Linked DNA regions of Bombyx mori. The protein of the gene in region 1 interacts with the protein of each later gene in a biochemical or structural test. Links are inferred from orthologs where the notes say so. Each region holds a gene or a part of one and is shown on either strand. Other genes may lie near its edges.

Region 1 (7,760 bases):
GGTCAAACCACGACCGGGCTTAGTTTCAGTACACCATCCACCAGTGCGACCAGTGGTCTTAATTTTGGCACCGGCGTTGGATTCGGCACAACTACACAGAGTGCAACACTAAGTTTCGGCGCACCGACAACACAGACCACCGTAACTCAACCTTCCACTGGGCTTAGTTTCGGGGGGCAGACTTCTCAGGGCTCAGCGACCGGGCTTGGTTTTGGCACGGCTGCTACAACCGGGTTAAGCTTTGGAACGAGTACGGCAGCGGCCGCAACGACTTCGGGGCTTAGTTTCGGTGTAAGCTCAGCACCTAGTACTCAGGCAGCCGGGCTTAGTTTTGGTGTCAGCTCCACACCAAGTACACAAACAACAGGGCTTAGTTTTGGCGTCAGTTCCACGCCGAGTACACAAACGACAGGGCTTAGTTTTGGTGTGAGTTCAACGCCAAGTACGCAAACCTCTGGTCTGGGATTTGGTGTCAGTTCCGCGCCAAGTACGCAAGCGACTGGGCTTAGTTTTGGTGTCAGCTCCGCGCCAAGTACCCAAGCTACCGCGCTTAGTTTCGGGGTAAGCTCGGCCACTACTCAGCCACCGAGCACCGGAATCAATTTTGGAACTGGTACATCAGCCGGATTAACCTTCGGAACGAAAACTGTTACCACGACCGCTGTTTCTTCCGCACGTAAGTCATGCAGATGATAAACTAATTAAAAGTATTTTTTTATTTATTGTATTGATTAGTGCGATTTTCGGACTTCCACAAGTTCTTGGGTAACTTTTGTGAAGATCTTTTTTCGGAGATTTCAGTTTCTTGATAAATTATTTTTATTTAAAGGAAACGTATAAATGGAGGTAGAAATTACAATAACCTTTCAAATCGTCATTTTTTTCTAATATATTGCGTGCTACCAATACAATACCAGTGGATGCCATGGTCTTCCCTAACTCTTTTAGCCAATTGATAACATTTTCCCCTTCTTATTTTTTTTATTGCTTAGTTTGGTGGACGAGCTCACAGCCCACCTGCTTTTAAGTGGTTACTGGACCCCATAGATATCTACAACGTAAATGCCGCTACCTTGAGATATGAGTTCTAAAGTCTCAGTACAGTTACAACGGCTGCCCCACCCTTCAAACCGAAACGCATTACTGCTTCACAGCAGAAATAAGCAGGGTGGTGGTACCTGCCCGTTTGCTAAGAATATGTCGATATTCTCATTTCTTATCGGGTTCTGATCAATTATTACCTTACTTGCACTGAATAATCTGAAAATATTAGTTATGTTCTTTCGAAATCAGATTCGTTTTAATTATATGGTACTTATATAAGTATATACACTTTTGCTATGATGATATAGTTAAATACCATAAAATCTCTAGTTTATTCACCAAACATTGTCCAAGGATACTTTGATGGCGCTAGCACGGCGTTAGGGCGTGAGATTTGACAAGAAAGTGTTATTAACCTTTGTGCGTTTTAAAATGTCATTGTAATCAGTGTCAGATATCGCTGTCAATGTCATTATTAAAGTTTGTAAATTTCGTTAAATTTCAGCATCCACTACCACCCCGTCTGGCATAACGGCACTGGGAAAAACCACAGCTTCGACTTCAATAATGCCCACTTTGACTGCAACAACGTGAGTCGATTAACACTAGCTTATAAAAAGTACAGTGTGCTTAGTGAGAGTTTCTTAACGTTCTCGATAGCGTAAAAGTTAAGCCAGTTTTGTATGCAGTCGGAACAGCGCCCCTAGCCACAAACGTATGCAAACGATCCCACTCCATACAAACATGACCTAACTTTTACACTATCGAGAAAGTTAAAAACCTCGAACTAAGCACACTGTTTTGTGTCAGATCATATTGCGCTTATACAAAAGTAATATTTTGTGTTAGATTATATTGTAAGCTTGTATAGGCAAGGACCTTCAACCTGCTTAGTTCTGCTGCGAAGCTTGAGCTCATTCCAATGTTCAATGCAATAAAAAAAATGGCACTGCTATTTACATCCACTTTGGAATGGAACGGACTTGGTCTTAAATGAATCTAATGATTCCTTATGCTACAATATTGAGACATAAAAACATCTGATAATTAAGTAGATTTGCTGCAAAGCATAGATGGAATTCATACCATATTAGACAACGAAAAAATTTGGAATGTATCAAATATCAGTTTTGTCTGGGTATATGATGGCATCATTTTAAATTTTTAGTACTGCAGCTGCACCAGTTCCACCTCAACCGATAACTTCGATAACATTTGCACAATTAGAGGAGAATATCAACAAATGGACCTTAGAATTGGAAGAGCAGGAACGGACGTTCATCAACCAAGCTACCCAGATTAATGCTTGGGACACATTACTAATAGCGAACGGAGAGAAGGTATGATCACATTTTTTTAATATTTATACTATACTATTATATATAAAATTGAATTGCTGTTCGTTAGTCTCGCTAAAACTCGAGAACGGCTGGACCGATTTGGCTAATTTTGGTCTTGAATTATTTATTGAAGTCCACAGATAATAATTTTGTTTTCCCTTTGATGTGTCCCCCGTCGGATGGATTCCTTTTGTTTAAGTTTATTTTATACTAGTTTAAGTATTTTATTTATCGATTGAGGCACTACGAAGTCTGCTGGGTCAGCTAGTTCAAATATAAGAGAGAAGCAACCGAGAATATTCTGCTTTTACTTTAAAATATTCAGGATTATGACTCTTTTACAAGTAATGCTTTTTCCACAGATCGTAGAACTAAACGAAGCAGTCGAGACCGTTAAAAACGAACAGCAATCACTGGAACATGAATTAGACTTTGTACTGGCACAACAAAAAGAATTGGAAGATCTATTAGGACCGATGGAGAAACAGTTACTGCAAGAGAACAATGACCGTATCAAAGATCCGGAAAGAGAACATATGTTAGTGTTTTTTTTTTTTTGCATATAAATATGAATCTCAATTACAGAAGAAAGATATTATTATATAATCATGATTATAAACAACAATTATGTATAATGAAATAATCGTCTATCAGGTTTTACTGGTGATAGGACCTCTTGTGAGTCCGCACGGGATGGTACCACCACCCCGCCTATTTCTGCCGTGAAGCAGTAATGCGTTTCGGTTTGAAGGGTGGGGCAGCCGTTGTAACTATACTGAGACCTTACAACTCTTATCTCAAGGTGGGTGGCGGCATTTACGTTGTAGATGTCTATGGGCTCCGGTAATCACTAAACACCAGGTGGGCCGTGAGCTCGTCCACCCATCTAAGCCATAAAAAAATTATCATGTCCTCAAATGACGTCACACCTAATGATGCAGATTTTAAAAATCAGCTGTATACTGAGGCATTCACACTACAAAAAAAATAATTAAAATGTGTGCAATTCACACGTGGTAGAAGTGAAACCTTCCAAAATTAAAATACAATTATCCTAAACGTCTTAAGTATATGTAAAATTTTGTCATTAGTAAATAATTGTAAGGTAGCGCCCTCTGTGAATTGATATTTTAATTTCACGTATAATCCTAAATTAAAATTCACTACAAGAGCTTTCATACACACATTAGTATTAAGAAATCTCACAGATGGCGTTGTATTAAATAGTATGTATATTTCTGTCTCATTCTTTCCTGGCTTCATCCTACACATTTTTGTATTTGTGTCTCTTACCTGTCGTTTTTTCCGTTGCATCCGGTTTGAAATCACAACGATTCTAAAGAAGTTTTCACTTCAATAATAATTTTATTTCATTTCGTTACTAGGTATTCACTAGCCGAAAATTTGGATTCTCAACTACATCAGATGTCCGAAGATTTGAAGGAAGTTATAGAGCATCTCAATGAGACAAACAGAAGTCAAGATGGCAACGATCCAGTAAGTGATTGTTTTGATTAAAAATGAAATTATGCTTCCTTAAAACAGATTTTCAAGAACTTTTTATGAAAGCTTCTTATTATTTCTACGTTAAATGTTACGAGCCGCTACTGTCTTATTGCTGGTAGCTTAGGGCCACTTATCTATATATATAAAAATGAATTGCTGTCGTTAGTCTCGCTAAAACTCGAGAACAGCTGGACCTATTTGGCTAATTTTTGGTCTTGAATTCCTTGTGAAAGCCCAGAGAAGGCTTAAAAGGTTTAAAAGGTTGGATAAATATGAAAATGCTCGGAATAATTTTGTTTTTCCTTTGATGTGTCCCCGACGGATTCCTTTTGTTTGTTTTAAGTTTATTTTATACAAAAGTTTAGGTCTTTTATTTCTCGATTGAGGCACTATGAAGTCTGCCGGGTCAGATAGTTATTCATAAAAATTTGCTCTAAGTAAAAGAATAAACAGTAGTTTAAAAAACTAAAAAATACGCTTGTTGAATTTTCTATAAAAGCGTATTTTTTCGTTTTTTTAAACTACTATTATTTTTATTTTTCATTTTTAAGTTGGAATTTCAATTATTTCAACTTTTTTTTTAAATATTGTGTTGTCATCGGTCCTTAATAAGTATCGCAAAATTCGAGTTAATCCGACGTTTTGAAGGGGGTCAAAATCATGTTCAAAGATTCCGTTACATACTTACATAGATACGTCTGAAGCTAATAAAAGCGTATAAAAAAATTAATACATTCCACTATAAAAGTTAATACATTTTTGAGCTTTTAGATTGAATAGTACCCGGTATTTTGAATATCGAAAAGAAGTTGAATCTCTACTTATGCGTATTGAACTTATGCATATTAAAATTACTCGAATAACTCAAACTTTTTCTTTTTCAGATTGTCCAAATCGGTCGCATACTAAACGCTCACATGTCGTCGATGCATTGGATAGACAACTCCATAGCTCAGATATCCAATAAGCTGGATCAATTGAAGAGCGTTCACGACACGCTCAGGAAGGATAACGAGAGATCATTTCAATTGACTTACAATTAATCTGTTTTTATAATATGTATACGGTTGGTTCAGTTTTGTGATTTTTGTCGATTGTTTCTGGATGTCATTGTTAATAATTAACACGTTGACTGATATGTAGGTCACCGGTGCCCTACGCGACGCACTGAAGTAATTATGGCGATTTCTCTCTTAGATCTTCTTAAGGCGCCAGAATATCTAGTAGATTCTGGGAAAGACCAATCCGAAGATACTGAGAATTAACCTATTCATAAAAAATACTAAAACATTAAAAAACAAAAGAAGGCAAATCGACATAATTTCTTTAGTGCGCCGCGTAGGACACCGGTGACCTACAAGGCAATTAACGTGTTAAACACGCCTACGAGTACTCAGAATGTTTGTAAACTGTAATAGAAGAATATTTGTAATACAAAATTAGTTTTACTGTTGCAGTACTTAAAGTTGTGAATAATGTATGATTAACTAACGAATACAGTACAATGTTGGACTTTTAAATGCTTAGAGTAGAATTCAATTATAATTTAAATGCACGTATAATTTATTTACATTCCTCATTATACTATTTATGATGCATGTCTATGTGTCCAAAAACACTTCACATTACGACGGTACCTAAATGTACTATGAGGATGAAAATGTGAATCAAATATTTTCATGAATCCCTTGTCTTTCGTACTATCAAATGCAAGTTCGCGATCAAACTGCATTATTACTATACATTATATTTTAGAAAATTGAGTAACATGGGTTCAAAGAATTTTAATTCAAATCACGTAATATGTTGTTACCCAAGCAAACAAACGAACATAATTTGATTATATAGATGATTAGTGTGCTTAATGTGAGTTTTTTAACGTTCTCGATCGCGTAAAAGTTAGCTCAAATCTGTATGGAGCTGGAACGTTTGCCTACGTTTGCCGCTAAGGGCGCTGTTCCAATTGCATACAAATTCGAGTTAACTTTTACGCTATCGAGAATGTTAAAAACTCGCACTCAACACACTGGCCAGTGACGAGGCCAGAAATGAAACACTCAAATAGTATTTAAAAATGAATGTGTCATTTATTAAAGACGTTAAAATGTTTTTGTTATGGCAACAAAATGATTCAATAAATAAAAATAAAAAATATTAAGTACCTATATAGTTTTTTTGTTGTTGTTATCAAGTCCATCGATTTATTTCCCTCTACTCTATTTTTGCTGGCCCATTTTGACAGACTGACTATCGTCTCACAAATAAACCAAAGACTTAGGAATGTTGATTGGATTCAAATAAATATTAAATCCGATTGAAGTGGACCGCTCTCGAAGCCCGAAGCTATTTTCCAAGCATCTTTGATGACTGCGAGAGAACGTGAAATACAAAGGACAATGCCCAAAAGTGGGCCAACTTTATGTCAAAACTATTTGTACTTGAAAAACTATGCCTTATTTTTTCACGTTGTTTAGTTTATGTATCAACATTTCTTTCAACCTGGCATTGTTTTCCAAAAAAATTAATTACTTAATTGATAACATCTCAAAGCTATCCATGCCATAGTTTTTAAATTCGCCAATAGGCAAAGGGCTTAGCCCATACAGCCTTATAGCAAACCTATATGCTGTCAAACGAAAGAGTTGTTTGTAACTTGGACAACAAATTAAAAAAAATTAGCTAATGCTTATAATTCACAGGCTTCTTAGTTTATTTTTGTTCAATTCAATATTTATTGTAATAATAATTATTACTTAAAACCATGAATTATTTAATATTTTTAGATATTAATGATTCCATTAGTAAAAATATCAATGGCCTACCATTACTCTATTCTTATTATATATGATCAGAGAGTGTTGGCAGCAACCCGAGTGAAGCGTCACTTGAATTTTTATTTTAATGTTTTTTAATAGTTTATTGTGTAATTTGTATTATTTGTATTTGTAATATTGTGTATAAAAGGTCTGCGTAAACTCATGCTCAGTCAATGTGATATTCGTCGAGTTGACGTCAAAACTCCCAAAAAGCAATAAAAAGAGATACACCATATTAAGTGTATAATCTATGGATACACCGGCTTTTTATTGACATAAAAAATATATAACTTCGACAGACTAGGCTGTATAGGCTACGCTCTTTGCCTGCTTATTGGTGAATTTTAAAACAAAACAACAATATCGTTGCCGGCTTCCGGATTTTCATTTCATTTTATCATTATTATGAGGATATAAATAAAATGTACGTAAGGGCTTATTTCTAGCAACATTAACCACAATTAACTTATTTAATACTGTAAATAATTATGAGAGCGATTATTGATTTCGAAGAAAACAATTAACAACTTAATTTTAGCTGCAGAAAAAAACAGATTTCTCAGCCTGGGTGAGAATATAAAATCGTTTTCTGAATATGAAACGATATTTCTTTGTCTATCAAATTAAGTTAAAACCATCATGACAGGACAACTTTTTTTAGGGGCCCAAACGCCCATAGAAAATGGGCATTGTCCTTTATGACTGCGTCTAATTCTATAAATAACTGATTACGACACATAGAGCTACAGTCGAATCCCATCGCCAAAGAAAAATTTGTGATGTTCACTCGTTATAGATTTGTTTTATTTAAAACCCGACACGAAAACCTATTTCAGTACTTAGTTTACAGATACATATCGACGCTTGAAAGGCAAACGTGACTAAGTTAGTTAGTTAGTCTACTGTAAAGTTCACGCATTGTCGCTTAGTCACTTTTGCCTTTCAAGCGTCGATATATATATTTTTTTTAATGATTACTTTCACCAGGATAGGTGGGCGAGCAAATGCTCAGCGAGGAGTGATTGATGGGATTTGCTAATAGCTGTCCGAACGC
Region 2 (8,557 bases), on another chromosome or scaffold:
CCAGGATAATTCTGAACTCATTCACACATACCCTTCAATTAGAAAAAGTATTCATTTAATATGCTCACATTCATTTAAGAAATATTCTATTGTAGTTGATTAACAACTACCAATATATCAATATGGTTAAATATTTTGTCGCGAGGGGGATTAGTTAAATTATTTTAATGTCTAGACCATTGGAGGGTGGCTTGTTAAACGTAGAACCCGAGCACTCTCAACAAATTTTTGGATATAGTTTTAGTATAAATAAGGCCATCCAATGATGGACAAGAACAGAGTGCAAACTACCAGACAGGTCAGACCTCCTGAGCATTGTAAAAAGGGAATAAATTGCTACAGAAAAAACATCTCGTTCTAACAACAGATCGTTTCTCTACTTTGCCAAGCAAATGTTATTTTAAAAGGGTTACAATTTAGAGTTCTGATGCACTTACAATCTGCCAGGCTCAAAAAATGCAGAAAGAGGCATTTGGTCCTTCTAATACTCTGCTATTTTGGAAATTATATGATGAGGGGAATAATTGCAGTTGGCTAAGGGTGATTGCACAATTGTTACCACTAATCGTTTTGGGAGTGTTAAATAGAATTTATATTAGTAATTATAGGCAACAGAATGTATCACTTACCAACAATGGCAGTTATGTTTGGTGCAATAAAAGTCATTCTACTTTCAACATACTCATATATTTGCGATTTGAAATTGTTCAGCTCACTTGCCATATCACAGGCCTCATTGATTTCTTCTAGTTCAATTTGGCTTAGTAATTTCCTGTCAAATGATTGAGTTGTTTAATAAGTAACTATTTTACACAAAATGTTCATCAAAATAAATCTTCAAAGTCCCTGTTTTGTACTCTAGTCCACTATAATAATTTAAATGAATTTGAAATGTTGCATTTCTACATTTTTATTTACATTTATTCTTTCTTCTTCCTAGTCGTACAGTCTTAACAGAGTGGTTGTGGTCATGTATCAGTCGAATTCTGCGATACCAATGCTCTCGCGTTGCAATGACATGTGGCACGATGTTTCTCAGAGTGAGTGCATTGATTTATATTAGCAAACAAAATAGACCACAAATAGAAAACAAATAAGAAGCTAACCCTTGAGTTGTAGATGCAGTAACAGAAACAATCATAATAGTGGCCTGAGTAAGAAAACTCTGTAATATTTCATTATTCTTAGCCCTGTCCAAATCATTGCCAAGTTCTTTCACTGTCCTTATGTATTCCAATGGAGTGATGATTAGAGATTCCAATTCAGGAAACCGTTTCTGATATTTGTCACGGACAAATCTGTGAATAATAGCTGAAAATTTGCATTTCTTGACTTTAATATTGTAAGCAGTAATAATTAGACAACCAAGATAATAATTTCATGAAAAGAGAACTATTAACACTACGTTCAATCATAAAAGTTCAATTCTCTGAAACTGTTTTAATAAACAAATCAACACATGAAAAATGGAGATTGGAATGCATACCTATTTCACCATCAATTTCAACAGCAACATTATTTGCTTCCACAATCAGTTGATACTCAGGGTCAGACTCCATTAAGCCAGCAACTTCAACCTTATTTCTGTTATTTCCAGCATTACATTCTATTTCACTCATAACCTAAAAGTTGTTTACATGAAAAATTGTAATTTATATTTAAACTGTTCTTCAAGAAACTTTATTAAATACATACACGTTTCAGACGATCAGAATATCTTAGTTTCGCGAGTTCTCTTATCGAGACATTCTTGATTTCTTCTTCTTTAGGTAAGACGGGATATGGAACTGCAAAGTCGTATTCTTCTTTGGTTTTGCTCTCGATAGCAGCTTCGAGTTCACCATCGTCATTTTCTTCTAAATCAGCAAGTAATTCGTCAGCTAGAGACATGCTTCTGTAGAACTAAATTGATTTTCTGAGTGTTAAGTTTATGTGTGAGCTTGTTCTGTTTCTATTGTATTCTGTAATATTCTACAATTATTACAGTTTTTTACTCAAATCGACTTTCACAGCTATACAGTATATTTCATTTAGTATACATTATAGATATTAATTTGATTTTTTAGTCAGCGATGTCATTAAACTTCAATAGTTTGTACCCAAAACTAAATGATTTACCTACCTATGTACCTACGGCGACTAATATTTGCAATAGTTAATTTGAAAAGTAAACAGAAATGACAGTGACAGTACGGTACTTGACAGTAGTAAGTAGTACCGTACCTACCTAGTATGTAGTAATTCCATTTTTCCAAGTATAAAGACGAAGGTATCATACGATATGTTTATTCATAAATTATAGATTCTCTTTCATGGAAATGATATGAAGCTAAATGAATTTAAGTTGATTAACTGGAGATATTCATTAATAGAGATGAAATTAAATGAAATAAGATGAGATGATATGGGATAAAATATAATCTCAGTAAAATAGTGGTTAGATATTTATTAAGACTTTTCAGTGAACTTTTCAGTAGATCCCGAGAAGCTGCGCCCAGCAGTTTTATTTCATTTTCCCACATTTGTGCATATTCATAAATACTAAATAGTTCATAATTAACCACCGTTATTACACATTTAAACCTAAAGAAATACTAAATAGACAAATTAAAACAATTCACACAACTTCGCTCTTCGCGTTCCCGCCAAAAGGTCTCACAGGACGGTGACTTTTGATTGTTTTTTACAATTTAAAAAATACTGAAAGCTGTAATGAAATAGTCTTGGTTTTTTTTTTAAGAATTGAATCAAATTTATGAAGATTTGGAGAAATCGCAACATAAACAAAAAACTAAGATAAAGCTCATGAGAACCCTTATCTTCTCCATACTCTCGTACGCTTCTGAGACGTGGACCCTCAAGGCCCGTATCCGATTGAAAATTGACGCATTTGAAATGTGATGTTGGCGCAAAATGTTGGTCGTATCATGGACGGAGCGCCGAACAAATGTATCAATTCTCTCGGAGCTAAACGTCAAGACCTGTCTATCTACGATCTGTATGCAGCATCTCCTCAAGTACTTCGGACACGTGACCTGACGAAATCTTGACAAATTGGAAAAAATAATAATTGTAGGTCACGTGGAAGGAAAGAGAGCTCGAGGAAGATTGCCAACCAGATGGACGGACATTGCCAAGGAAGCCACAAACACCAGCGTTCCGGGTGCCATTCAGCAGGCCAAATGCAGGCAGCATTGTAGGAAACTAGTGCAATTAGACCAAGGTGGTCACGACTCATGATCCACAGTAATGAGGAAGCGACGAAGAAGAAGAAATGTACTTTTAATCTGAAGAATTACGTGGATCAAGTTTGACTTATTTTCTAATAACAATTGAAAAATATATTACAGGATTTTCCTAAAAAGTACGTCAGAGCATTAGATTTTAATACTTTTAATCCATAATAGTGGAAACAGCTCAGCTTTAGTAGAAAATAGTAGTGTTGTATGATCTTATACCTCTTAGACACTACATTCAGAATCATTAAAAAAAAATATGTCATAACTGTCAACAAGCAGAATAAATTTTCAAGCCCCTTTTCGTCAGTTCGTCACATCTTGAATTTTTCGGCTGGAATTGGGCTTTTTGTTGGTGGTGTGTAGACGCCTAATATTTAAATAAAGTTAAGTGAACACCTTCCTATTCAATTTTTTAGTATATTCAAAGATATCAATCTTTTACAGTGACAAATAGACACATCTTAATCTAAATGGCGCTCAATCCGCAGTACGATGCAATCGGTAAAGGTTTTGTGCAACAATATTACACATTGTTCGATGATCCGGCTCAACGGGCAAATCTTGTTAATATGTACAATGTGAGTATTATTACTGTACCGTTATTTTTATTATATTATGGTTATCTTCCCTTCTCTCACATTTTGAAAATAGTATTTTACAATTTAAATTTTGTTTAGAGGTTAACGTCTGGTTTTACCGACTGCGAAACTCGGCTTCTCATATAAAGCAATTACGTAGAATTTAGACTGAAGAAACGATACAAAGCCTCTATTTTAAGTGTAATTTAAATATGTCCTTTTTAGAATTGTGTTACCATGTGTTAGTACAATTTTATTCTAGATCTTTTAAGTGATGTATTTGTTGATGCCCACTAGGGTGAAAAATTGGTGTCAACTGGACATTGCGATAAATTTTACTTTATACCCCTTTTTTAACAATGTTGTATAAACATTTAAACATAGTTGTTTCAGGACTATTGCTTGTTAAGTTATTAATAATGACTTGTCTTGCAGGTTGAAACTTCATTCATGACCTTTGAGGGAGTACAACTGCAGGGTGCTGTTAAAATTATGGAAAAATTAAATGTGAGTAAATAAGAATTTTACCAATTTTGAAGATATTACACTAAAAATCTTCTCTAACACAATCAAAAGTACAGTTATGTATTTAGGAACAGTGCTTATATTTACAGGTTTTGTTTAGTTGTTATTTAACTGAATTTTTTTTTGTATACACTAAAATTTTCATTCTGGTTTCCTCAGTAGTTCTTTGTATAACTTTTTTTATACCTACTTTGTAACATTTTTTTCCTACATATATACATAATTTGTGCTTGTAACAATAATAGTGTAGTTATTGTTATTATGTTATATCTCTGTGTTAAGGCCATCCTGGTCGTAATAGTGGAGTCTATAGGCATTACAGATTTAATGTTACCACCTTTATTGTTGAGACATGAGATCAAAGTCTGTACTGTATCTAACTGTATCTGATAAAATTACTGCTACTAAGAAGCTATATAATCCATGTTGCTGTTTTTGACCAGAAGGCATCTATTGTGGTAGAGCAGCAAAGGTAGAATTGTGGAAAAATTGTCGTTAGGTCTATCACTTTAGAAATAACCTTATTTTTAATAAAAATGAAAATTAATATTACAGAGTTTGACTTTTCAAAAAATCACTAGAATAGTAACTGCTGTGGATTCCCAGCCAATGTTTGATGGAGGCGTTTTAATTAATGTCCTTGGAAGATTGAAGGTAAATAGTAAATATAAATCACCATTTAACTTTATGTGTTTAATTAAAAATATAATTGCTTTATTTACCTAAACAGGTGAATCACATAATATAAAGTAAAAGTTGTTTATAGTAAATACTATAAATTAATTTTATCATTTAATATCATCTTTATTTAAAAAAATTTTTATTTACGTCATTTGAAATACAGTATATTTTTGTGGTAATGTATATATAAGGTGTTTTTTGTCTACCTTTGAATATTTTTCTAACTGCTAGCTTTCTCTAAAATATTTCTTGACAGTGATGTCTTTTCACACACAAACAACTATCTTAAGCTCTGGCAGTTTGTTTGACTTGGGTTTTCGTAGTCACGAGAATCCTAAGTGTTAATTAAGAGCCAATCATTTTCTCTGTAAAATTAAGGTATTTTAAATTTTATTTTCATGACCTCATATACTATATGTGTAACTAGCTTTCTTTGGTCAGTATTTAGATTCAAATTTAACTGAATGGTTAATAGAGCTGTCTAGCCCATGTTAATAAACTGCGAGCTTGTGTATTCAATAACTCTTAATGTCTACAATGTGCTCATTAACTGTAACCTATAAATCTATATCTGAGAGTGCACATTTAAAATCCTGTTTATAAATACCTGGATCCTGCAAAGTAAAACTGCATTTTAGTCTTGTAGTAGTACTAGTAGTTTTCTTTACGCACACCAAAATATATTGCCAATACTTTCTCTAACTTCTTTGATGTAAGGCAAAAACCTTGGAGCCCGTTCTACTGGCTGGTTTCCTTATGAATGAAAGATTCCTTTGTAGCGCTATATTTTAAAGTTATTTAATATGAATCCTTACAACAATTATTTAGAGATGCCAGGCTGAGTGTTGGGTTGGTAAAATGCCACACATTCGTTTGTATATTGCCTGGTTGAGTTTGTGTCTGTGACGAGAAAGGAGACAAATTTTTAGGAGTAGGTATGAGGTTATCAGTGTATGGGTGGATACTCAAATGTAAAGTTTTATTAAAAGGTACGAAAACGAAAAACACTTAGGAAGCGCTGCTTTATACATACCTATGTATCTGTTAATAAACTTTAATAATTATGTTATCGTTTTCTATTCAAAAAATTAAGAAGGGTTCTCATGTCATTTGGAAAGAATTTGTAATATAGCAAAGTTTCGTAAGGTTCTGTATAATCTGTAGACAACAACAACAGATCCAAAAAGTTTTCAGGGTCTAGATGCATTATTCCTTAACTGACTATACGTAAATTTTGTAATACTACAGGATTCTAATTTTAAATTGTTTATTTTTTATTTTCAGTGTGACGAAGATCCTCCACACCTATACATGCAAACGTTCGTGTTGAAGCCACTCGGAGATTCATTTTATGTTCAGCACGACATTTTCCGTTTAGGCATCCATGACATAGCTTAGATCACAAGGACAGACACAACACGAAGAAATGCTTAACTTGAAATTTGATATAACATACAACTGTTGAATCAGAATTCTTGACATTTGGTACACATTATATTTTTCTTGTATCTATTTCGTCAAAGAATTTATGAAATTGAAAGGACTAGACGATTATGAAATTATGATAATGATCGATTTAGTGATCGAACAGGGTAATCTAAAATGAGAATTTGGTTTTCATTACACAGAAAATGGAGATAAATTGTTACATGTTTGTAAACGAACAAATTATAAAAATGAAAAACCGCTTTCATTATTGTTACCCTTGGAGATAATGCGATTTTGGGTTACGCCATTCTTCGAGTTGTCAATTATACTTTTAAATATCAATAACATACAAACACTAGTTTCATCATGCTTCTCAAGTCTGTTTGGTTATCTAGGTATATAAGTGCTATCAAAAATTGTGAATAGCTGTTACTAAATTTGGCATCTTTTTGTGCTTTATTTAACGTTGCTACGAGAACTCTTTGCATTATATGTAAACATTTTATAACAAATACATTATAATTTTCTACACGGTCTTGTTTATAATAAATTTTTTCCTACCTATTCTAGTAACCACGAGGGGTTATTCTAGATTCGCCGAATTAGTAAGTGAGTTCACGGGGCTCAAACCTGATGACGTTGCTAACACAAACCCTAGCAAGAGCCGCGCTTCGCAGAATCTACCACCGGATCGGAAACGCGACCCACTGAGAAGATCCGGCGAAGAAACTTAGTGGGCTGTCTGTGGGTTAACTCGCCGGTTACTCGCCGAGCCTTTCGTGGCAAGCGACGGGTTCGACGAGAATGTTGGTCGGTGCTTGGGATACCTAGAAGCACCGTTAGTGGATCGGGAGGATCCGAAATGACGTTGTTTAGACACCTTTAATACAATTTCACGTGCCCTGCTGTTACGGTTGAAAAGTAGTAGTCTTAATATTATTAAGACTAACAATCATTAAGTTAATGTGTTCTGCGGGTTTCGGGCGATGCCATCACTTGTCTCCAAACCCTTCTATTTTAAGGATGGCATACATGTGATGTTCGATCTTCTGTAACCACATAGCACTAGGCTTAGGTGTTGACAAGCTGGTTTTTCCATCCCAGCTATAAAAGAGCAGATTTTTACAATATAATCTCATGTCAACATTATCTAATCATCGATGCTAAGCTTAATTCTACGAAACTGTTCTCTTTCTCCCGGTTAATCTGTGATATAACATTATTTCCAAGAACACTTTGTCGAAACCCTGAAGAAATATACACCCCAAAAAAAAAAGCTCTTTCCTTACCGGTTAAAGATTATCTCGACTGCAATGCGTTTGTGGATATTTCATCGGATTTAGTTGAGCTTTATTATAATGTTCTTGAGACTTCAGTGTAAGTTAGTCTCAGTAGTACTTAACATTGTTGGCCACTTTTTTGCCTTACTTTGCTAGTTACCTCGAAGCGTTATGCGAGCTTCACCCAAAGTGTAGGTAAGCTCACAGGGCTCAGTCTGAAGACATTGCTAACACTAGCCCTAGCAAGAGCAGTGCTTCGTTGAATTTACCACCGGATGTTATTGCTTTTGGCCACAGTACAGTGTATCAAGAAAAAAAAAAACGAAAATAGATGCTAAGACAATCAATATATTATAAATAGTCAAAAAAAAAAATAACAAAAAGAACCACTGAAAACAGGTACATTTTTTACCGATCTCAGAATTATAAGACTCGCTTCTTCCATTAAATCCTTAGAGGCTACGAACACTTAACAAGTTTTTAGCATGCACTACAAACGACACACAGGCCACCACGCCACGATGGCCGACTTGTCTAAGCGAATGACTAGGTTGCAGGTGATACTTTCGTTGCTTTGCTGGCCACAAACGTGTCTTTATTGATTTAATTTTTGTATTCCCGTAAGTCTTTAGCAGTTTTGAATTAACCACAGATGTGTGGTATGAAAGGTTGCCATGTTATAAAAGTAATAGCCTGAAAATGTTTATGGTCTGTGTTCTAGGGACATTTTTTTTTATTTTAGCTTTTCTTTTCTTCGTCCTTGTTTATATATAAAAATTTGTTACGTAACACATATATTATTCTTATTTTCCGTGTCGAAACTACG
Region 3 (8,432 bases), on another chromosome or scaffold:
TTTGTGTGCGCGAGTTTTATAAAAACGACAATTCGGCAACCGTTGCGCGGCGTAAATTTCGAGAACACAAAGGCTTACACAACTTTGACGACACTCCAACTCTTCAAACGATTAAGAACTGGGTTGCTAAGTTCGAGGAGACCGGTTCGACGTTAGATAAACCGCGGTTGGGTCGCCCAAGGACGTCACGTACGGAACAAAACATAGACACAGTGACACAGTCTATTCGCGAAAATCCGACACAGTCAACTCGTAAGCGCGCCAGAGCATTAAATGTATCCAGGACATCGTTACAACGGATTTTGAAGAAAGATTTACATATGCACCCTTACAAAATTCAGTTGGTTCAAGAATTAAAGGAAACTGACGGTATTCAAAGACAAAATTATGAATGTTGAATCGGTTTACTTCCTTCAATAACATAATGTTCTCTGACGAGGCTCATTTCCATCTTAACGGGCATGTTAGTAAACAAAATTGCCGCTATTGGAGCCCCATCAATCCAAAACTTAAGCATCAGAAGCCCTTACATAGTCCGAAAGTGACTGTTTGGGCCGCTATGTCAGCCCATGGTATCCTAGGGCCTTACTTCTTTGAGGATGGCAGAGGGCGCGCAGTTACTGTTACGTCGGAGCGATATGTGGCTATGATCGAAGAGTTTTTCATACCAGAATTGCAAAACTTTTCAGGCTTTAATGCCAGGACGTGGTTTCAACAGGATGGGGCCACTTCTCACACCTCTAACACTGCTATGCCCGTTATCCGTCAACTTTTTCCTGGCAAAGTTATCTCTAAGAGAGGAGACATTTCCTGGCCTCCACGTAGTCCAGATCTGACCCCGATGGATTTTTTTTTGTGGGGCTACCTTAAGGCTAAAGTATACGACACAAACCCGCGGTCAATTGAGGCCCTAAAAGAAAACATCCGCAGAGAAATGACAAGCATTTCAGCAGTGACGTGCCGCGCAGTCATCGACAATTTTAGACGTCGTTTGCAAGAGTGCCGTGATCGCAACGGATTACATTTAGGAGATGTTATTTTCAAAAAATAATTCCCGTTTTTTAAGCTTTTTATGTAAATAAAAATTTAATTCATAATGTAATTAGTTTTATTTTAATAATTTTTTTTTCATATCAAAGGACTTATGGGCCACCCTGTATTTCAAATTACAGGTTCAAAAGGAATCACGCTCCAGTGAATCCATTAAACAAAATTCTGGTTGCAGTTAAAGAATATGGAATGCTATTTCAAGTTCCACAGGATGTATTGAATCAATGCACTTCCAGCAGGAAAACCAATGAAATATTTAAATTTTGGGTTGTGGGGTAAGTGGGGCTTTTTAAAGATCGTATTAAATAATGCCTTATTTCAGCAAAGACTATATAAAAGCTTTTTACAAGCAATCTTATTTTTTATTGAATAAAAAAACAACATTATTTTTAAAAGCTTCGATTATTTTCGTCTCGACCAATTTACGTGAATACAAACAATACAGCAAGTTACATTAAAATTTATGTTTCATTATGAGTGAAAATGGAGGAAAAAAACTTCAATTTGTAGAACTTAAAAATGAACGCATATTTTGATTTACAGACGTATCTTCAGTGAACCTGAACCGAGAGAGTTGTATATCTGCTACCACGAATCAATACCACAAGACCTGACTGAAGTTGGATATATGCTATCTTATTTGGAATGAAATTTGTCTAGAATAACGAAATAATCATATTAGTGATGAAATGAATCCGTCCTCCTTTTTTACTAATAAAGTTAATGTGCGATGTAAAATGTGTTGTGATTGTGTGTCAATAAAATGTCTCCCACTTAAAGCTACTAAACCTCAAAGTAATGTGCCCAGAATAGAGTGATGTGATCATGTTGGAGTTCCAGTTCTGCAATGACAGCTGGTAGCTACATAATCCATGAACTCTTCCAATCCCAGCATTTCGAAAAATATGTTTGTGTCTCCCAAGCGAAGACATACATCGCTTGTGTGCCTAAGATTGAGGTATGGAGGGCAGAGGTAAGGAGAATCGTCTGGTATGAAAAAGTGTCCGTTAAAATCTGCTAAATAAGGGTGGCGCTACAGTAGCAACCGGGTAAATTTTAAAAAAAGCGCTGAAAGTTATTAGAATAAGATAGAGAAATAAAAAAAGACGAAAGAACTGTAAGCACTACAAAATCACAAAAAGTATTTTATCTAAGCTGATAAAAAAATGCAATCGATGTCTCCACGTTTTACCACAGCAATAATTTTAGCTTATATTAACGAAATTAGTTTGGACTATGTAAACATGTGAGGTCTTGTATATTACACTGTCACTAACTACTCTAGTCATTAAATATATTAAATTTCCTAACTCAGCACACTTCAATCAGTTAACAACTGCTCAATTCATATCATACCTGGTGCCTATGCTAGCGCCATTTTGGAGCATTTTTGAACTGTTATCTAGTACTGAAAGTGGGACACTTTTTCAAGCTTCTCCCATATAAGATGATTCTCCTTACCTCTAGCCTCCATAGATTGAGGATAAAAGATTTAAGTAATGTGATTAAGGTGTCTATGACAGTCACTGGTAGACGATAGAATAAATTAATTATTTAATTATTTTTACCTCGAGGTCTCAATAAGTTCTATTTTGAAAAGTAGGACAGTGGTTGTTGTATAGAACTCAGACTACAACTCGCATATAAAGGTGCATGGCGGCTTTTACGTTTTTTATGTCTATAAGTTCAAGTAACTGCTGAATACTAGGTGGGCCGTAAACTTGTTCACCCATATAGGCAATAAAAGAAATCAAATTAACTATTATTATTACTGCTATTACTATTACTAGAAAACTATTTTTTGTTTAATTTAGCTAATTTAGTTTTGTAAAAGTACCTAATCTAACATACCCCAGTTAATAGTCTTAATGATATAGGGAAAAGACGGTGTAATAAAGATGATAATGCACTAAAAAGAAAAGGGTGCGTGTACTTATGTACGCGCGTAAGAAGCTATACTTTATTTTTATTAATTTTTTTTTAAAGATGAATAATTAATAATAAATATTTAACGTTAATAATTTAATAATATTTAGTATGATAATAATACTTTTGTCATTTATATTACTAAAAAATGAATGCTAATAACACTTTTTTTACGAGTGTACATGCGCTAAAGTTCACCTGCGGCTATATTCAGACTCGCCAAGTTACGTCGGTCGTATTGTAATGAGCGATTTAGCGGGCAACTTCATTTCTGTTAATATTGTGTCACGGTGCGCGCGCATAATAAAATTTCACTCTCATCAATTTTTCATAACGCGCCTAAAGAAGTATAACTTAAAAAATTGCAATTTGAGAATTTTACTACCATGAATAATTGTGAACAACAGTACTGAATTATAGAGGTTAGAAGAATTATTTATCCACTGGCAGTAGGTAGACAATTCATGTTGTATAACTAATCGCTGGCATTAATTGTTCATAATCGTGATAATTTGTCTCTGAAAAGTTCTGAATGATGCATTTACCGTTAAAAAACACCGAGGTTTAAATAGTATGGTAAGTCTAATTCAAATACATTGATAAAAAATAAGTCTAAAATAATGATTTTTTGGTTTCTAACATGCCGGTTTCAATATTTAACTACGATAGTTTTGCTCCATACACATTATTTAATTGAGGATCAGAAAATATTGAAGCAATTTAAGTAAACAGTTAGATAAGAATCTTGCATGCCATTAATGTCAGCTTCTAGTTTACATTTTTTGAAGTAAATGGGATTTTTTTAAAGTTGACATCACTTTGTATGAGTGTCTATAACAAGGACTTGGCGTGGCATTACTATTATTTTTGCCATTGAAAAAAACATGCACTACGACGATTGCCGTACTAAAAAAATCTGAAGAAACTGAGCATCCGCTTAAATCATTTATCCAATTTTATTCGTATCTCAATGCCATAAAGACTATAGTAGTATGTTTGTTCCATTATTGACATCATATTGACAATTCGACAATTAAAAAGTTATAGGATGTTTCCGCTATCCGTCGCGTCGTTGGGATTTGCAGTTTGCACTTATGAAGTAAATTTAGCTAGATTATACATGGAGATTAAAATCAGTAACTATTTATTACTTACAAATGTTTAGTGATTTATATGTGTGCCTGTGATCAGTCTTCAAATTGAACGATGATAACAAAAATGCAACCGCAAGCAAATGTAGCAGTGCCACAGTCTGTCACGACGCAACCCCAAGCTCAGCAAATCGTCGGTGTGCCTGCAAATGCTGTGATATTGAAAATGTCGGACTTACAACAAATATCTACTGTGGGTAAGTCTCTGGAAAGGTTTAATATTGAATTAGTTAATATTAAGTATTACATTTTGTCTGGAAATTTGCAAAATTTGCAAATTGGTGCCTACATAGTATGGTATGTCATGTTAGAGTAATGTCTCTTGGAATTTTTTGTACACGTCTTGTTTAAAATAGCGATGCATTCATTTACTGATTCGGATTACTCACGTATTTATAATATTAATTTATGTTTCTAAGATTTAAGTGAAATCCTTTGAAAAAAGCCCGACGCGCTATTCATCAATGACTAAAATGACCAGAAATATTTTAGGTTCTCATTGCTTTTTTGGTGATTAAATTGCTGCCTATTATAAACTTGTAGAAGAATCCTTTGTCTAATGAAGTATCTGGGATGATTTGACATGTTTAGTTACATGAATTTACCTCTGCCTCTTTGTTTCATTAAAAGGCTTTGTTGCCCTCATTGAGATTAGTTTATTGAAATCTTAGTATATTTTGAGCAGTAGATAGGTAGAGTAAGACTCCAAAATTTAGATAAAAATAAACTTTTTGGATTGTATTTTCTAAATCTCTATATAAATTGAATAGCTGTTTGCTTTCCTTTCATCAATGTAGGTTTCAATTACTTCCTACAATAACTGTATTGTCCTGTTCAATATATGTAATGTAAAACTATTATTTTAGCCTAAATGCTTTCAGAGAGGTAATGAAGCCACTGAATTATAGAAACAAATAAAACACTAAATCACTTCTTCTACATTGATGGGAAATAGTTACTTGCCAAACCCACAAACAATTGATAATAAGATCTCTTATACTGGGTATTTATTTACTTTTAATTTTGCCTTAGGCTTACTTGAATTAGCACATCGAGAATATCAAGCTGGTGATTATGAAAGTGCAGAACATCACTGTATGCAGTTATGGCGCCAGGACAGTACAAACACAGGGGTGCTACTCCTACTCTCGTCTATACATTTCCAGTGTCGGAGACTGGACAAGTCTGCTCATTTTTCCACATTGGCGATCAAACAGAATCCTTTGTTGGCTGAAGCCTACAGGTGAGGAAGAGCACTATATACTTTTATGTATTTCTCCTATAATTTAAAGGTTTGTCTTGAATTCTTAAAAAAATGAAACCTTTATTACTGTATAATCAGTTGTTCTGTATTTCGAGAATCAATTTGGAACAAGTCCAAGTGATTTGTGACCATTCCTATAATTTATAAAATAGTTTATAAAAATAACTGTTTGCAGTGTATTGTAATGACAGCTTTGAGAGACAAGACACGTGTCTCTGTCTGGCTGTGAAAGTTATTTAGATCATACTTTAACTATAACATATATGATATTGTAATGTATAGAAAGTTTAAATTAAATACAAGTTGGAAATATTGAATTTCTAATTTGCTTCATTTCACTTCACTTTTACCTTAACATTTTATTAATAATAAAAATGGACTAAATGAAAGTGCTAATAATAAAAATCGTTTATACAATAAAGATTTATACAATAAAATAAGTTAAATCCAGCGATGTGCGCATGATGTAGTTTATTTCATTTGGTTAATACAAAAATTATGTATTGCTTATTAAGGATACATACAATACATACATTTTTTGTTATAAGAAAGTTTACGGACAGTTTTCGCTAAAAATATTTAGTATTTTGAATACTTTTTTGTCAAAATAAAGTAAATTTGGCACAAACAGCACATTAAAAATTTGGAGCAACTACTTATTTAGGACAAATGTGGTGTATGACCTTGATTAATTAATTGCTTAAATCATTAACATTCACTGCAATAAATCTAATTAGTTGATTAACAAAAATAACTCATTTTCTATGTGGAAACATGTTTCAATTTTTACAATAATTATTAAAACTACTGGTACGGTTTAATCTCCTGTTTTCATAATCAAGACGTATAAGGCTGAGAAAATAATTCACTAATTCACAAATGAAAAATCTAAAACATTTTGTAATACTGTAAGGTACCTAGTACCTACTACCTAGTAATAATTTCTAGATCTTCTGTGTCAATGTTATTATAAATTAAAATTGTCTATTGTTTTAAAACTACTGAAAATTAGGAGATTTTTAAATGAACAATGTATTTGGGTTAAAATGGTGTCTTCTTTTTTTTTAAGCTACCTCATCATGCTTTTTAACTAACAAGTTTTTGTCATAAGTACATTCAAGAACATTCATATATTTTAAAACAGAATTGTTTATAAAATCAGACACCCGGCTCATAATCAATTCAAACTACAACACATGCTGAATAATGTTGAACTGTATAACTTAAATTTAATATTCAATAGTCTCAGGGTATTATTTTCTCAATCATTTGCACTCTTAGTAGAGAGGTCGTGATCATCATTTCGGGTTGTGGTATATCTAGTATTCCAATACCTAACATATTTAATAATCACACTGACTCCGATAATTAATCGAAACAGGATCCTATGGTGCATACACGAGGATCACTAGCCTGTTTGTAATGATCATAATTTGTCTTTAATTTTTCGTGCAGCAACTTGGGCAATGTTTACAAAGAACGCGGGCAGCTTCAGGAGGCGCTGGAGAACTATCGTCACGCTGTCCGTTTGAAGCCGGACTTCATCGATGGATACATCAACTTGGCTGCGGCTCTCGTTGCCGCCGGCGATATGGAGCAAGCTGTGCAGGCTTACGTTACCGCACTGCAGTATAACCCTGTGAGTATGTAAAAGTTTTTAAGGGATGATTCTAATCAGTATTATTTGTTTTCCATGTGGGCGGGCACATGCTGATATTAATTTTATTTCTTACTATCTGACCCGGCAGACTTCGTAGTGCCGCAATCAATAAATAAAAGACCTAAACTTTTGTATAAAATAAATTTAAAACAAACTAAAGTAATCCGACCGACGGGGGACACATCAAAGGGAAAATTACGACCATTTTCTTAATTATCTACCTTTTAAACCATCTCTGGACTTCCACAAATAATTCAAGACCAAAATTAGCCAAATCGGTCCAGCCGTTCTCGAGTTTTAGCGAGACTAACGAACAGCAATTCATTTTTATATATATTGATAACATGAGCTATACATAATGTCAAATGAATCATTTGTTATTTGTTTTCCTGATGGCTTGGAAAATTTCATACGATTTTTTTGTTAACATCGGTAATTATGTGGTTGCAGCTCATTGGATATCTCGTCATATCGATCGTCTACCATTGTGACATGAACTATTCAATTTCAAATAAGACAAAGTATTTTTGAATGAAATTAAATAAGTGAAACACACAACGCGTATTGTTTGCTTCGAAGTGAAAGGAGTATGCTCTAGTTTAGCTTAATCTAAGCATTTGTATTGTATTATGTATCCAGCAGGCAGTGGTAATTTTAAACCGTAATTCGTAAGATTCTAAAAAGGCGAGTAAGCCTTTTTGTAAATATAATTTAAATTTTATATTATTTTGGATATATTTACGTGTAGACCTTTAGTATTCGACAACTAGTATTCGTTGATTCATAGGAATAAGATACGAGCATTATTTAACTGTAGAATATAACGCGTATTGCACACTGATAAGAATAAATTAAAAACAATAATAAAATTGCAAAGGGTCAATAAGGGACAAGTAATTTTTCCTGAATATTCTTGTAAGACAACCACTTTATTCAAGAAAATGTAGACAGTTTATAAATGAAACGTTGATTAAAAGCTCAAGAAAAAAGTTTGCAGCGATGTATTAATTGACTTAACTACGTAGGAATATACATTCACATCCGCTGTTAAAAAGAAAACGATTGGTTGGAAATATACCTGAGTGTTGATCCCCAGTGAATCAGCTACCCCTGCAATGCATTCAATGCCTGCTACGTTACTATTATTACCATGTTTTTACGAAGCCGGTTTTTGAGAATAGATTTTGAACTCGATGGTACTTTTCAATTGACATATCCTCACCTGGCTTCTATTATAAATGGATAGTTTAAAAAACACGTTAAATTCGTACTAAATTTTCTTACTTCCTCACCCCAGTGCGAATGTCAATACTCACTCACTTTTAATGTCAATATAGTTCGTATCAACGTTCTTATGGAAATTAGAATATAACGTGACGTA
Region 4 (7,452 bases), on another chromosome or scaffold:
ATCTAGTATCACCAACCGCAATGCTTACCTGTCATCCAGGAAACTTCTAGTTCAGCTTTCGAACCTCACGATGTCTGTGTTATTAACATTCAATGAAAAAGTGTGCTATAACTTTTGAATTCAATAGCTATTTTAATTCATTGTACATATAAAAAACAAAAAAATAAGTTTAAGGTTAGAAAATAGTGGATATTCTGTAGTATTAAATGAATAGGTAACGATTTTGTACATACATACCCTAATAAGAAAGAAACAATGTGCAACAGGGGCCGTATAAAATATATTTAAACAACATTATTTCAAAGTATAAAAATATTTATTAAGAAATTATAATAAAAGAAGTAGTGGTACTAAATAATCAATTGGTTTTGATGTTCCCTTGGCATGGATGACTTGGATTAGTGATCGTGACTACTCACCATTAGGTGGCCCATATTCTCGCCTGGTTTCAGTGGTAATAAAATACAAAAAAGACCTCACAAATTTGATTCTCTAACACCTTTTGTTTTCATGTGACATATCAGTATACAGACATAGTTAAATTTGGGGTACTTCACTTTGTAAATTATGTACTTAGATTATGGTTATTGCTTACAGATCGAAATGAATTGGAAGCAGCAGTTAGATACCTCGACCATGCTGCCACCACAAATTTCACAACATTCATCAAAATGTTGTCCGATGTCCTTCTCCAAGGTGGTAACAGTCAAGTGGCTAGGATGGCAGCTGGTTTGCAATTGAAAAATCATCTCACTTCTAAAGATCCTACACTTAAACAACAATATCAACAAAGATGGCTGGCTTTGGCAGAAGATGTTCGACTTTATATAAAAGAAAATGTAAGGCAATATTGCAAACAAGAAACAAGTGAAACATTGAAAAATTCACTAATAAGTTACTTAATAATAAAAATATATATAATATTATCTCTAAGCTAAATTGCTCAATTATTGTCTAAATAGCAATTCCCTGTATGTCTTACTTAGATTAAAATTAAAATTAGTAATAAATATAATTTAACACAACACTAATAAATACAAACACACAAGACATCTAAAACGTAATTACGCCACCCATCTTGAGATACAAGTTCTAAGGTCTCAGGTATAGTTATAGTATAGAGCTTGAACTAATGAAGGTGGAGAATCTGATAAGTTCCATCAGGTGTAGGTAACCAAGTTATATTTAATTTTAATACTAGTTTCTTTTTTAGATATTAGCTGCTATAGGAACAGAGAATAGTCGTCCAAGTTCAGCAGCACAGTGTGTGGCGTATGTGGCAGTAGCTGAGCTCCCAGTAGGACAATGGAATGATCTAATACCAATTCTTGTAGAAAATGTTGTTCATGTCCAATCTACTGAACTCAAAAAGGAAGCGACTTTGGAGGCTATTGGTAACTGAATGAACATTTGATAGTTAAAAGAGCTATGACAAATTATGTTATATAAATAAACAAAAAAAAAATTACAGTTTTAATTGTGCTTTATAACTAAAGGCAAATTGCTATTAATCTCTTTAACAATACTGATGTATTTCTTATTCTTCTAGGCTACATTTGTCAGGATATTGATGCTGAAGTATTAACAGAAAGAAGTAATCAAATTCTTACGGCCATCATACATGGCATGAGGTCAACTGAACCCAGTAATCATGTTCGACTAGCTGCTACTCAAGCTTTGCTCAACTCTCTAGAATTCACCAGAGCGAACTTTGAAAAAGAAAATGAAAGAAACTTTATTATGGAGGTTGTCTGTGAAGCCACACAGTCTAGTGACATGAGAATCAGCGTTGCTGCTTTGCAATGCTTAGTAAGTTTTATAAATATATAATGTGAATCCAAGTATTATATTTAAAATTAAAATAAAATACCACCTTAGCTACCACATTAGCTTTCTTCCCATGAAAGTAGAAAAAATTATATACCTCAGGAATATTACTTTTTTGTGGATAGTATCCTTTTATGTCCTTTTCTGTACTCTTGACAGCATTTATGTAAAATTTCATAATTAATGATTGATTAGTTAGATATGAAAGTGTATGAATTACAATTTATATTAATATTACATTTACTCAGTTATAAATTTATAATATTAACATGAATAACAAAGCTAAGACTTATTTTTTGGGATACCAGCTATTGACATGATTAAATTTAAACAATTACTGTATTAATTAATTTAAAAAATAGTTTTTAATCAAACAAAATTATCTTCAGGTGAAAATTTTATCACTTTATTATCAACATATGGAACCTTACATGGGACAAGCTCTATTCCCCATAACACTTGAGGCTATGAAATCTGATATTGATGAGATTTCATTACAAGGTATTGAATTCTGGTCCAATGTGAGCGATGAGGAAATAGATCTCGCAATTGAAGAAGCTGAAGCAGTTGAAGCAGGTATGAAAGTGATACTTCTATTCTCCTGTTGTGTTTAAAAAAATGACTAAGTATAAACTTTCTAAATTCATTATTACTTCAAATTCACAGGTCGACCTCCAACTAGAACTTCACGATTCTATGCAAGAGGGGCACTTCAATACCTTGCACCTGTCTTGATGCAAAAACTAACAAAACAAGATGATTCTGATGATGAATTGGAATGGAATCCGTCAAAGGCTGCTTCTGTTTGTCTTATGCTTTTGTCAAATTGCTGTGAAGACGAAATTGTACCGCATGTGTTACCGTTTATTAATTGTAACATTAAAAGTGAAAATTGGCGATACAGAGAAGCTGCTCTAATGGCATTTGGTTCAATTCTTGGTGGTCTTGGAGCTAACACTCTGAAACCATTAGTGGAAAATGCCATGCCAACTTTGATTGAAGCGATGTATGATTCTAGTATAGCTGTAAGGGACACCGCTGCTTGGACATTTGGTAGAATTTGTGAAATTGTCCCTGAAGCTGCTATCAATGAAACATATTTGAAACCATTATTAGAGAGTCTTGTAAATGGTTTAAAAGCTGAACCTAGAGTTGCAGCTAATGTTTGTTGGGCATTCACCGGTTTGGCAGAAGCAGCATACGAGGCAGCGGATGGGGGTGATTCTAATCAGCCAAAGACATATTGCATGTCAAATTATTTTGATTTCATCGTTCAGAGATTACTTGAAACAACGGATCGTCAAGATGCTGCTCAACATAATTTGAGATCAGCTGCATATGAAGCTCTAATGGAAATGGTCAAAAATTCGCCCAGTGACTGTTATGTCACAGTCCAAAAGACCACTATGGTTATACTTGAGAGACTCCAACAAGTTCTACAAATGGAAATACATGTTTCTAGTCAAGCTGACCGTTCTCAATTTAACGACCTCCAAAGTTTATTATGTGCTACCTTGCATTCGGTTCTAAAAAAAGTTACTCCTGATGATGCTCCTCAAATATCAGACACAATAATGACTGCTTTGTTAACTGTATTTGCAAGTAATGCTGGAAAAGCAGGCAGTGTTCAGGAGGATGCTCTGATGGCTGTTTCTACTCTTGTTGAAGTCTTAGGAGAAGAGTTTTTAAAATACATGGATACATTCAAAAAATACCTTTATACTGGTCTTAAAAACCACCAGGAGTACCAAGTTTGCATTGCAGCTGTAGGATTGACTGGTGATATCTGTCGCGCCTTGAAAAATAAGGTCAGTAAAATCTATTTGACAAACTTTATTATCAATTTATTATCTGTCAGCAATTGTAATTTTTTCGTTATTTATTTTATTTGCAGATGGCACCCTATTGTGATGAGATAATAGTTTTGTTATTGGAGAATTTAGGTGATCCATCAATTCACCGATCAGTGAAGCCTGAAATATTATCTGTATTTGGAGACATTGCTTTGAGTATTGGTAGCGATTTTGGAAAATATTTTGATGTCGTCATGCAAATGCTATTGCAGGTATGTCTGTTCATAAAGGGTCGAAAGCTTAGCTATAAAGTGCAGTAGTTTGTCCTGGGTAAATCAATCCTGTACTAAATGAGGACATGTTACATATATTGGGATACCAAGTTAACGAATTTTATAATATTGTCTGTCTGATAACATTTAATAATGAAATGATTGCAGGCTAGTAATGCTCAAGTGGACCATAACGACTATGATATGGTTGAATATTTGGGTGAACTCCGCGAAAGCGTTCTGGAAGCATACACTGGAATCATTCAAGGCCTTAAAGGTGTAGGTTCTCAGGTATGTTACTATAGTTTCTTGAATATTGTTGAGATTATAATATTATGTTCATTGGAAATGTAGAATATTTGTAGATATGTTCCTACGATAATTGCTTAATCTGTAAAAATAAAGTCATAATGTGATACCTAGACTAAAATCTATTATTGGCTTTGAAGGTGTTGTATTGTAACTACACACAATTTATCACAAATAAACATTTTCTTCCATTCAACATGGGAGTTTTCGGATTGCCGCCATACATAGATTGTGGTTCTAGAAATTTTCTAAGCTAAATTTCCTTGTCAAATTAGTGATCCTGACTTGGAGAATAATATCCACCAATATTTATGTAAAAAATAAATCACTCCGAGGCTATAAGTAGATGCCTGGTGCTTCACCATAAAATCAGCAAACAAAAATATGTACAACAAACAAATAACAAGAAAATAATTAATTGGTATTGATATTCTTCGATTAATTTGGCTGGTGAAATTTATTAAACAAATAATATATATGCTTACTTAAACTTTAAATACAGCTTCCTTAAAATTATTATTTACTAGCTGACCCGGCAGACTTCGTAGTGCCTCAATCGATAAATAAAAGACCTAAGCTTTTGTATAAAATAAATTTAAAACAAACAAAAGGAATCCGTCCGACGGGGGACACATCAAAGGAACAACAAAATTATTATTTTTATATAATTCCGAGCATTTTCATATTTATCTACCTTTTAAACCTTCTCTGGACTTCCACAAATAATTTAAGACCAAAATAAGCAAAATCGGTCCAGCCGTTCTTGAGTTTTAGCGAGACTAACGAACAGCAATTCATTTTTATATTATTATTTATAAACAGGTACGACCGGACATCGCTATCGTCGAGCCGCACGTGCCGGCGATCGTTAACTTCATGATTCAGGTTGCGAACGAAGAGGACCGCACCGACGCCCAGATGGCGGTCATATCGGGGCTCATGGGCGACTTGACTAACGCGTTCGGGGCGCACGTGCTGCCCATGCTCGACACCAAGCCGCTCACCGACATGCTGCAGGTGGCGCGGCGCTCCCGCGTGGCGCGCACCAAGACGCTCGCCAATTGGGCGACCAAAGAGATGCGTCGCGTCAAGCAGACCCTCCCTCTTGCCAGCTGGTAATTATTTCACTTTCAATACTTAGACCGAATGGCCTAAAGGTCTAGATACCAGGCCATAAATGAAAAAAATAATAATACTTAGACCGAACTTCCACAGACATTAGAATTATTTATTTACTAGCGACCCGCCCTCGCTTCGCTTCGGAAACATTAAATTTTATTATTGATAGCTGAGTCCCGCGATGTAACCCGCGGTTATTGACGCACCACGGGTGACGCCGCGAGGCGAAGCTAGTCTAAAAAAAGTAGCCTAAGTTACTCCTTATATCATCAGCTAACTTATCAGTGAAAGTCACGTCAAAATCGGTCCAGCTGTTCCAGAGATTAGCCGGAACAAACAGACAGACAAAATTGTAAAAAAAATGTTATTTTGGTGTACCTATGTACCGTATTTCCTATGCATGTAGTAAAAAGCGGCTATTTCAATATTACAAACAGGCACACCAATTTTATTTATATGTATAATAGATTTATTACACTTCATATAAAATTTACATTGGCGAACTTAATACCAAAGGCATTCTCTACCAATCAACCAAAGGTAGTGCAGAGTAAATCGTGGTTGGTAATTATCATACTTTACGAAACAAAACGTCTGTTTGATTCATGACAAAAATAGGCAGAATAGTGGTACTTGCCAACCAGTGCGGATTGGATCAGAACTTTTAAATTAATAATAACGCCCCCGGGTCCGTCAGAGTTTTGTACGAGAACTATATAGATGACTTATTGAGAGTATGCTTAGGAACTTCGTATTGATCGAATTTGTGCTGAATCAAACTTGGTCTATCACAGATTAAATTTTTATAACCGAACACAACAAACGTGTAGTTTTACTTTAAATATTCAACCTAATAAAATATTTGAAGTAAAAACCTTTATTCACGGTGTTAGATTTTTTTCAATCGAAATATTGCTTTAAACGGTTTTCTCATTCTAAAATCATCAAAGCCTTATATAATATTTTCAATGCATCATATTTTTCTAACAAATCTCTAAAATCCTGGTTTTTTTTTATTGCTTATATGGGTCATAAACAGTCATAAGTTTCTATACATCTGAGGCCCAGAACTCTTCCGCTCATATAATTAAAAAAGCCAGGAACCGAGGATTTTTATAATTGATGGTTTGAGCAACCATGTGGTTCCGCCAGCATTAAATTTCAAAATTATCTGACTTTGACTACAAAGAGAAATATTTCACAATTAACCATCAAAACTCATCGAAATTCGAGATAGGTCCAGTAGGTTTCGCGTAAAATAAACCAATAATAACGCCGTTGTAGACAAAATTTAGCTTCAATTGGGTGGGATTCATGCGATATTTCTTTTTTTTATGTTGCTTAGATGGGTGGACGAGCTCATAGCCCCTCTGGTGTTAATTGGTTACTGGAGCCCATAGACATCTACGACGTTAATGCGCCACCCATCTTGAGATACAAGTTCTAAGGTCTCAGTATAAGGTATATAGTATCAACAGCTGCCCCACCCTTCAGACCGAAACGCATTACTGCTTCACATAGGCGGGGTGGTGATACCTACCCGTGAGGACTCATAAGACGTTCTACTACCAGTAATGACGCAAATTATAATTTTGCGAGTTTTCTTTTTACTACACGATGCTATTTCTTCACCGTGGAAGACAATCTCAACATTTGTTAAGTACTTATTTCATTACAAAAATTGGTACTTGCCTGAGAGATTCGGAATCCGGTGCATCACTAGATACGAATGCACCGGAGGTCTTATCATTTAGGCCACGACGATTTCAGACACATAGCCTTAAAAACATATATTTAATAAATATATTTTTGTCTCAATCAATTGTTTTTCACAGATTTGGAATTACCGACCACAGCATTGAAACGCAGCTTGAAACAACATACTGCTGGTAAAATCAATTTTTGAAGTCAGGCAAATTATAAAGTCCATTTAGTAAATAAATCGATAAGTGCATACATCGTCAGTTTGTACGTTTCGGTCAGCATGTTAAATATTAGTCTTATGAGAGAGTATGTTCTTATTGTTAAACGCGCTAAATGTTAAATTGCAGTTATTAAGTACTATTGTGTCCTAATAATTTATGAAAACGAAACTTCGTAGATATTTAAACAAATTTAAGTAATAATTGATA

Evidence for each region.
Region 2: the proteins of nuclear pore glycoprotein p62 (region 1) and probable nuclear transport factor 2 form a complex in vitro, tested with the Homo sapiens proteins (3 studies listed by BioGRID). The link is inferred for Bombyx mori from reciprocal best matches to the Homo sapiens genes NUP62 and NUTF2.
Region 3: of the proteins of nuclear pore glycoprotein p62 (region 1) and UDP-N-acetylglucosamine--peptide N-acetylglucosaminyltransferase 110 kDa subunit, one has a biochemical effect on the other in vitro, tested with the Homo sapiens proteins (2 studies listed by BioGRID). The link is inferred for Bombyx mori from reciprocal best matches to the Homo sapiens genes NUP62 and OGT.
Region 4: the proteins of nuclear pore glycoprotein p62 (region 1) and importin subunit beta-1 form a complex in vitro, tested with the Homo sapiens proteins (2 studies listed by BioGRID). The link is inferred for Bombyx mori from reciprocal best matches to the Homo sapiens genes NUP62 and KPNB1.

The regions. Positions count from the first base shown.
Region 1 is NC_085134.1:6,723,602-6,731,361, forward strand, and holds the end of nuclear pore glycoprotein p62, read left to right. Parts: coding exon 1-676; intron 677-1,549; coding exon 1,550-1,634; intron 1,635-2,212; coding exon 2,213-2,384; intron 2,385-2,746; coding exon 2,747-2,922; intron 2,923-3,769; coding exon 3,770-3,881; intron 3,882-4,774; coding exon 4,775-4,933; 3' UTR 4,934-6,055; downstream 6,056-7,760. UniProt on the Homo sapiens protein: Essential component of the nuclear pore complex. The N-terminal is probably involved in nucleocytoplasmic transport.
Region 2 is NC_085116.1:12,785,034-12,793,590, forward strand, and holds probable nuclear transport factor 2, read left to right. Parts: upstream 1-3,451; 5' UTR 3,452-3,594; intron 3,595-3,683; 5' UTR 3,684-3,709; coding exon 3,710-3,817; intron 3,818-4,252; coding exon 4,253-4,324; intron 4,325-4,897; coding exon 4,898-4,996; intron 4,997-6,307; coding exon 6,308-6,421; 3' UTR 6,422-6,982; downstream 6,983-8,557. Other genes in the region: U4/U6 small nuclear ribonucleoprotein Prp31, read right to left, coding at 630-772, 1,107-1,311, 1,487-1,622, 1,696-1,890. UniProt on the Homo sapiens protein: Mediates the import of GDP-bound RAN from the cytoplasm into the nucleus which is essential for the function of RAN in cargo receptor-mediated nucleocytoplasmic transport.
Region 3 is NC_085129.1:5,334,977-5,343,408, reverse strand, and holds the start of UDP-N-acetylglucosamine--peptide N-acetylglucosaminyltransferase 110 kDa subunit, read left to right. Parts: upstream 1-3,837; 5' UTR 3,838-4,182; coding exon 4,183-4,324; intron 4,325-5,159; coding exon 5,160-5,370; intron 5,371-6,846; coding exon 6,847-7,030; intron 7,031-8,432. Other genes in the region: protein inturned, read left to right, coding at 1,173-1,325, 1,594-1,699. UniProt on the Homo sapiens protein: Catalyzes the transfer of a single N-acetylglucosamine from UDP-GlcNAc to a serine or threonine residue in cytoplasmic and nuclear proteins resulting in their modification with a beta-linked N-acetylglucosamine (O-GlcNAc).
Region 4 is NC_085110.1:11,422,649-11,430,100, forward strand, and holds the end of importin subunit beta-1, read left to right. Parts: intron 1-597; coding exon 598-839; intron 840-1,213; coding exon 1,214-1,394; intron 1,395-1,549; coding exon 1,550-1,809; intron 1,810-2,216; coding exon 2,217-2,403; intron 2,404-2,493; coding exon 2,494-3,635; intron 3,636-3,721; coding exon 3,722-3,892; intron 3,893-4,060; coding exon 4,061-4,183; intron 4,184-5,023; coding exon 5,024-5,320; downstream 5,321-7,452.